Schizosaccharomyces pombe: one gene and its partner. The gene in region 2 interacts genetically with the main gene of each other region. Each region holds a gene or a part of one and is shown on either strand. Other genes may lie near its edges.

Region 1 (3,756 bases), on a different chromosome or scaffold from region 2:
TTGCAATGGTTTGCTGTAGGGAGTTGGGTCCCGTGTTCCAAGTCGGGGGACATGAAAAAGGCTTATCAATCTGCTCCGCTCCTTGGTGTTCTTCTCCAACGTTTTTAAAAACATTAAAGTTATCTAAGATGGGTTCCTTCTCCGATGAAACAGGACCGTTGAAGAAAACAGGAGAGGAAGAAGGTTTGTTTTCACCATTGGAAACCACTGAAGGTGATTGTGGTGTGGTTGAAGGAATCGAAGCTTCACTGTTGTTGGACTGCTGAGGCATCATCGGACGTGAAGCATTAACAGGTGCGGGTTTACTGGGGATAGTAAATTTACCAGGTGTAAACACAGGAGCAGCTACATTCGGCTTAAAAGATATAGCCTTAGCATTCAACTTCGTGCCCAGCTTTGTACCTGTGGTTTCCTTTCTCTGTGTAACAACAGAGGGCTTTTCGGGTTCAGTTGATGGTTTTTCCTCTTCTTTTGAAGGAGAAGATGTATTTCCATCAACCTTTTCAACCTTTTCGGAAGACACCTCCGTAGCAGATGTAACTGGTTTTTCAGCTTCCTCCTTTCGTGGTTCTTTCGAATCCGCCGGAGTTGCCTGGCTGGAAGCATCAGGAAGCTGTTTTTCATCAGCCACTTTAACTTCAGCAACAGATTTCGTAGAAGAAGGTTGTTTGGAATCCAGCGAACCTATTTTTAAAGATTGGCTAAACTGCATAAACTCTTTAATCTGTCCTTCCTTTTCACGTCTGGAGAGAGGACCAGCCTTACGGCGGGCGTTGAAAAACCTTTCAGCTGCTCGAGAATCTGGACCAGGTGCGCGAGGCAAAGCAAGGTGACGGTGAGACACAATTGCTGGATCATCAGGAGGAACTACTTTCTGCTGTGGATGTTGATGAGGGGCTTCATGGTTCTTAGGTTTTTGATCTTTGTTGTTCTTGTTGTACGCATTACTGCGGGTGTAGTTCCTAACAACATCGATAGAACGATGAACGCCAGAATAAAGGTCCTCTTCATCAAGTCCACTATCATCAACTTTAAGACCACGCTCTTCAGCAATATGAATGTTGTTGGTTACGGTACCTTCAATTTCTTTCGCTATACGATCAGCTTCTTGCTCTTTCTCTTTGTATTTTGGATGACTTCGATCGATACGAGAAGTATACAAATCTTCATCAAAATGAGATTTCACACCGAAAAGTTTTTCATTTGTAGCAAATTGATCCCATTCAACATTATCAGTAGACTCCTCTAAACCAGCTAGAGGAACACCTGCATCTTCCGGATCTGGCATCCAGCGACGGAGTTCTCGTTGACGAGTTTCAGTGCGCTTTTCTGCTGAAATAGCTACATCTGTTTTCCAAACTCTTTGCTGAGAATTATTTGATTTCGCAGAACCAGAAACACTCGAAACATTTTCCTCGGAAGAGGCCAACGAGGTAACGTTGGAAGATGAGTCGGTGGCTTTAGCAGCAACTCCCCCTCTGACTCTATTTTCAGGTACTACTTTAATAGATTCTACATTACGATGATCATTCGTAGCAGACTGAGCAATTTTGCTTCCTCTAGCAGCAACTGCTGACCATTTTTTGGCACCCTGAGTTTTATTAGGGCTGGCAGCGCGTTGCGAGGTCTGTTTCATGCTGACAGAACGGGTTGCCATCAGAATTACTTGAGTGTCCTCAGATACTCTTGCAATTTCTCGATTTGCAACCTCCCAGTGCCCAACTGAAATTTGAGTAATTCCGTGGAGGTTGGAGGTAGAAGCAACTAAAAGTGAAGTGTAACCTTTAGGTAACTGGGCGAATGGCGCATGACACCAGGCTTACACCATAGAGGAAATCAAATGAATGCTACCATTCCTAATAATTGAATTTTTTTAATTTTAAATTTCAAAGTCGTAGCATAATATATTTTCAGGTTCGTACCTTTTTTTTTCATATAGATTCAGTTACTTTGCAGAGCACTAACCACCCAAAGGCTGCAGGTGGCAAATGCGGTCATACTCTATTTTCTTCGCAGAATGTATTGATAAATTAGCAATTGTACTGTTGATAATTTACTGATTCAAAACGCTTTATTTGCTTTTTTTACGATAACAGATGCAATTTTTTGAATTAAGCTGTAGTTTATGTAGCAATGTATGGCTTTACAATTCATGTACTATGTCTGGATGACTTATTCTACAATACAATAAGACAAAGGTCAATACATAATACGGAAATTCCGTTAAAGTGAACAGGCAATTCTTAATTGAGTAAACTTTAGACATTAATTGATTCAAAAGCAACCTACAACCGCAAAAAAAACTTATTCTTTGTAGCTTGGAAAGTTTAGATTGGCCTTAATCAAGGGTTATCGGCTTACATGCTTTACAAAAAACACTTTTCATTTGCAAATGATTAGTATACTAAGAATAAAAGGCTTGAAAACTGGCACATATTTTACGTCAAAATAGACAACCAAGGACACTACGAGATTTTATAAGTTAAAAATCCCATTTACACCAATATTTGTTTAAACTTCTGAATTTGTTCTATCAGAATTCTATAGCCCCTTTAAACCACTCTCTTTCCAAGACACTGCAGTTTTTGTTTCATATTATAACGATACCTTAGTGACCATTAACTATTAACACTTCAGAAGTTAACATCGGGCTGCAAAAAGAAGATATCACTTGAACCGGCTTCGTGAGCAAATAACCCAATTAAACGTCGAAAGTTTTGGTTTCGTCCTTTCAAAGCTATTTTATTGCAAGCATTATAACCTTTCAGTATTTGAATCCTACAATTTAATTTTTCACGATGGGTATGAGCTTAAAAGGACAACTACTCACATTTTTTGGAATATTCATTACTGGTATGTTTATTGATACTATAAAACTGAAGTAATTCAGGTTTCAAAGTTCTTTAAGAGAATAAATTAATATATATATTTTTGTCTATAATTGCTTTTTTCACTAACTCACGCAGTCGGCCCTATATCATTTCTAGTGCTTAAAAACGATTTAAATAATAAAAAAAGAGAGTACTTTAAATTGTATAAGCAAGAACAGGCGAAACAGCTTGAAAATGCAAAATCTTCAAAAGAAAACAAATAATGAAATATTTACTATAATTTCGACGCCAATGTCAAAGCTGTCCACAGACAGCGATGCAAAGATATTAAATAAAATAACCTCCTAGTCCATGTAGTAATTCCGGCAATCCCAAAAATAACACTATATAATAAAAACGCTGAGTAATTAAAAATTAAAATAAAATAAAATAAAATAAAGCCTTAAACCGGAGCCATTATATAACAAAGCGAGACATATTAATCCAACAATATGTAGAATAAGTTATAAATAATAAACTAGTATTTCTCTCCTCCTGCGTTAACAAGCGACGCTCAAGGAAGCAAAACAAATGTAAGGAAACAACAGATAAATGATAAGGGGGGTTCCGTAACGACCTACTGAAAAAAAAAATCACTTTCCAGGCATTAAAAAAATAATCTTTCAATTCAGTGTCATAACGTTTCCAGGGCCTTTCATCTTTGCAGCCTTCAATAAAGATTGTCAGATAATGTAAAAACTTTACATGTTACGAGGAAACTAAATAAATTGATAATCTAAAATATATGTTTAAAAGAACTTAAGCCTATCAAACACTAAGCTTAAAAACTTGGAATGGAGAGTAAGGAATCCTCATTTTCATATTTGTGAAGTTATGCTCAGACGATAAGGCTGAAATATCGCGAAAAAATCTCCAAAAAATGGAC
Region 2 (3,756 bases):
TGTAGTGCTTTAGCGGTTTCCATAACGTCCTTGTATTCTTCTTCACTAACGGGTTCAGCCTCGGACATTGGGGAATCAGTAGTAGTCAAATTAAGGTTATCCTTAGTGATTTGCGGAGCACGACCGTGCATATCTTCAGCCCCGTTCATGTCTTCAGTTTCCTTAAAATCTTTAGAATTTTTATCGGAAAAAGTAGAATCATCATCGTCCTCGTCGCTCATGACAAGATCACGTGCACAGCTATTATGGCGGAAAAGATAATCACGAAGATGGTCACGCTGCATTACCATGGCTTCACCATTAGGATCGCTAAGAAGGGACATATTACTACAATGAAGCAACTCGGCGTAAAGTTCACAAATTCGGAAACGTTCAAAACCTAAAGGCTTGATCTTACCAAAACTGGTGGGCATGAGGTCGGACTCGGTGGAAGGTTTAAGGAGGATTTTTTGAAAGACAGGAATTTTTTCGGCGAAAAGACGCAACATGGTCCCAAGGTAAATAGGATCACGGGTAGTAGGAGGATGCGTGTCAAGAGGCATTTGCAAAACGGGTGTAACATCGTAGTCACTGTTGTTCTTACGAATTAGTTCTATTACGATGCTGACGCCATTAATAAGAGAAGTGGCAGAGTGAGGAGCTTTAGAATCGGTCATGTAATCAGTTAGTGTAGTTATTGTTTGTCTGGATACTAGTTCTCGTGAAAGGGAGTTAGGTCCAATAACTCCGGGTTCATTAGAATTGGCAGAAATAGCGATAATTGCTTTTATAACATCAGCAACAGTAAACTGGACGTCGGGATCCACATATGGGCTAAGTAGACGCAGTAAGGATTGTATTAATCCCTGCGAATACAACCAGTCAGCAATTCCAATAGCAGTATTGCAACGATCCATTGAAATGAATTTGAGCAACAGATCCATGATTGCGCTTGTTTCCGCATGACGGAGGATCTTTTCTACAAAGTTATCAATAGATTGGATAAAGGCAACCGTTTCTTCGGTTTTTTTATCCAGAAAATGTTCATTGACCTTTGCAAAGTATGATGCTTGCAATGGGTTTAATGGGCCCTCGCTATCCAAAAAGGACCAAAGTTTCACCATCAATGTCTTATTTTCCACACAAGCCTCACAGATGGACCAAACGTCGCTACTGAGGATTTCACTCGCTATGTAGGAAAGTCTGGTATGTTCCGGCTCTTCATAACCACCATCGGCAGAAGGTATCTCTGTTTCGTCAACCTCCAAAATATAATCAATCAGCTGGCTAAGTACTTCCGGCTTGCAAAGGTATTCTAAAAGTTTGGGGTTGTGGCTTTTACATTCGTCCAAAACCCCATTCTCTTCTAACAACTCCTTTAAATTAATCTCATCTTCCGGTTTATCCAAAATCGCCTCAATGGCGCTTGAGCTTTGAAATCCAAATCCCTGGCCCAATCTCCAAAACATTTCTATCACTTCCTTTAAAATGTATGTAAGTCAAAGCTATGTTTATACTTCCCAAGGCTTAAACGGCGAAGCTCTTAGGTAAAGGCTTCCCCTTTTGCGTTCTTGTTTTACGGCGGTACTCTTGAGCCGTGCCCTTCACTGTATAGATAATCAATGTCTGCGGTTTTAAATATGAGTATCAAAGAGTCTCAATTTTGAAGTTTTTCCTCTATTACTACTTCCAAAACAGACAGTTGCGGTTTTAAGCTGTTGGCGAAGGGCAGATAAGTGTGAATGGTGAATCCTACGTAGTTCGTTCTTCCATATGGAGAGGTGGGGGAAAGCCAATTGTCTCTTTACTGCGGCTTTAGGAAGCGATGTAAAAACATTGGCTATTCTAGTGTAATGCGCAATCAATTATACCGTGGAAATAGCGTGTTGCAATCAAATTTAGGGATATGGTAAACGGTGGTGGGGTTGCTTGATACATATTATATTTTGATACACAGGTAATATGGGTAACAGGTAATGCTGATATTCTTATACAAAGGGGACGTTTGGCAGCTAATCACTGAAAAAGCTCAATACTTAACTGTACTAACGAATTCCAGCTAGGCTCTATCTAGAGTATGTTTATTAATCTAAAACTTTCTTTTGGAAAAATCAGCAAATCTTTTTGTGCTATGTTGTATCATAAGATAGCGGATAGATAACAGAACATGTGATATATAACGATACGGAACGTACTGTATTATTCGATATACTGAAGTTGACATTACAGTAGTTCACCAGTTTTCTGTTAGCGAAATCTATAAGTATCACGTTGTAAATCGGTAGATATCCTTAGCAGATAATTTCACAAAAGAAAAATTTTAGCTTAAAAGTTTTAAAAGAGTATTTTATTTACGGTTATAAAAGCTCCTAAATAGGAGTTAACTTAACTCTCCTATACTGCAGAAGTCAATCCATGGCAAGGACTAATCTGTATCGATAATGCATTTACTGACGATCAATTGACTGTATTATTTTTCGCATTTCCAGATATAAGATTGCTTCAAAGTGTTCGTTATAGCATATAATGTAACTTAGGAATACTGCTAGTCTTCTTAAAATGCGGATGTTAGAAGTAATCTACCTCCTAAATCAGCTTTTTGGTTCCTATTTTTGAATATTCTTTGTTTTAAGCAATTGATTCGAAATTTTTCAATTTTGTAATTCTCTGCTTAGTATAACTTTGTAAGATCTGAAATTGCGATAATTTGAAAGGACCTTGCTTGTTTGTTTACGCAGTTATATCAACCGGCGCATTTTTTGATCAACCTCTTTTTATCGCTCATTATGGAAAACAATCATCATTTGGCTAAGGATTCTTTGGATGAATTGAATCCTAAACGTGGAAAAGGCGAGCACGAAACTCAGGTCTCACAATACACTGTGGTCGAGGAAGCCACTATACCTCAGTCTTTAGGTAAGAAAAATACCCTCGTTGGGAAGAAAAAGAACTTCATATTCAAAAAGATAGCAATTTTAACGTAAAAGTGAAAACTTCCAGACCTGCTGATCATAAAGTGATGGAAGCTTCTAAGGTTGCTGATACTCGTACGGCTTGGTCGACAAAAATTCCAGCAGTACTTCTTCCTGTTTTCGTAATAAATATTGCTTTGTTTAAATATCTCGTGTTTGCAAACTTTTCAACTAAAGATCGGGTGCTATTTGGATTGGGAAATGGTGGAATTAACATATTTTCGATGTGGCTTTTACTCGGTAAGTGGACTATGTGATTACTATCAGTATGCAGCTGCTAATTCTATAGCAACATATGAAACATGGTTCAGGAGTATCAAGGAAGTTATTGTCGCTTGCGGAGCAGGTATAAGATCTTTTCCCCAAAAACGGGGAGTAAATATGCTATATGCTATTCTCAAGTTGACTTTTGTTAATGCATTTGCCATTCCCCTCCTTATGTTTTTTAGAAGTCATTTTGAGCAATGGAGACTGGGATGCCCGTTGGTGGAGCGTGTCATTGGTGTTATGCTAAACGTGGCATATTTTATAATTGAAATTGGTTCGTTCTTCAAAATTCTGATAAATGCTAACTTTACAAGAAAATCCTGGTTTATTCACTAGAGTTTTTAATAAGTACTGTGATTGCTTATTTGCTATTAGGGGTATGCTGCTAAATTCATCAATCTCGATGTTCATTTTCCAATTCGTCTCACTTACCAAACTAGATATCCTAAATAGAAACTAATGAGTTTTGAACAAATGCAATGCTGAGAATGTTATCCGTTATTTTTTGGAAAAGGTTTAATATGCTACATGTGTATTC

The links. A genetic interaction does not mean that the proteins touch.
Region 1: mutations in ekc1 (region 2) and ath1 together harm fitness more than expected from each alone (negative genetic interaction), as found in Schizosaccharomyces pombe (one large-scale study listed by BioGRID).

The regions. Positions count from the first base shown.
Region 1 is NC_003423.3:1,664,960-1,668,715, reverse strand, and holds the start of ath1 (ataxin-2-like protein), read right to left. Parts: upstream 1,757-3,756; 5' UTR 1,658-1,756; coding exon 1-1,657. Other genes in the region: SPOM_SPBC21B10.15 (uncharacterized protein), read left to right, coding at 2,799-2,853, 2,967-3,094. UniProt on the Schizosaccharomyces pombe protein: Involved in post-transcriptional regulation of gene expression, probably by association with mkt1.
Region 2 is NC_003421.2:1,627,673-1,631,428, forward strand, and holds the start of ekc1 (protein phosphatase regulatory subunit Ekc1), read right to left. Parts: upstream 1,703-3,756; 5' UTR 1,449-1,702; coding exon 1-1,448. Other genes in the region: wtf element Wtf14, read left to right, coding at 2,766-2,895, 2,967-3,191, 3,241-3,492, 3,533-3,595, 3,659-3,678. UniProt on the Schizosaccharomyces pombe protein: Has a role in chromosome segregation. May provide a dynamic connection between kinetochore microtubules and kinetochore chromatin.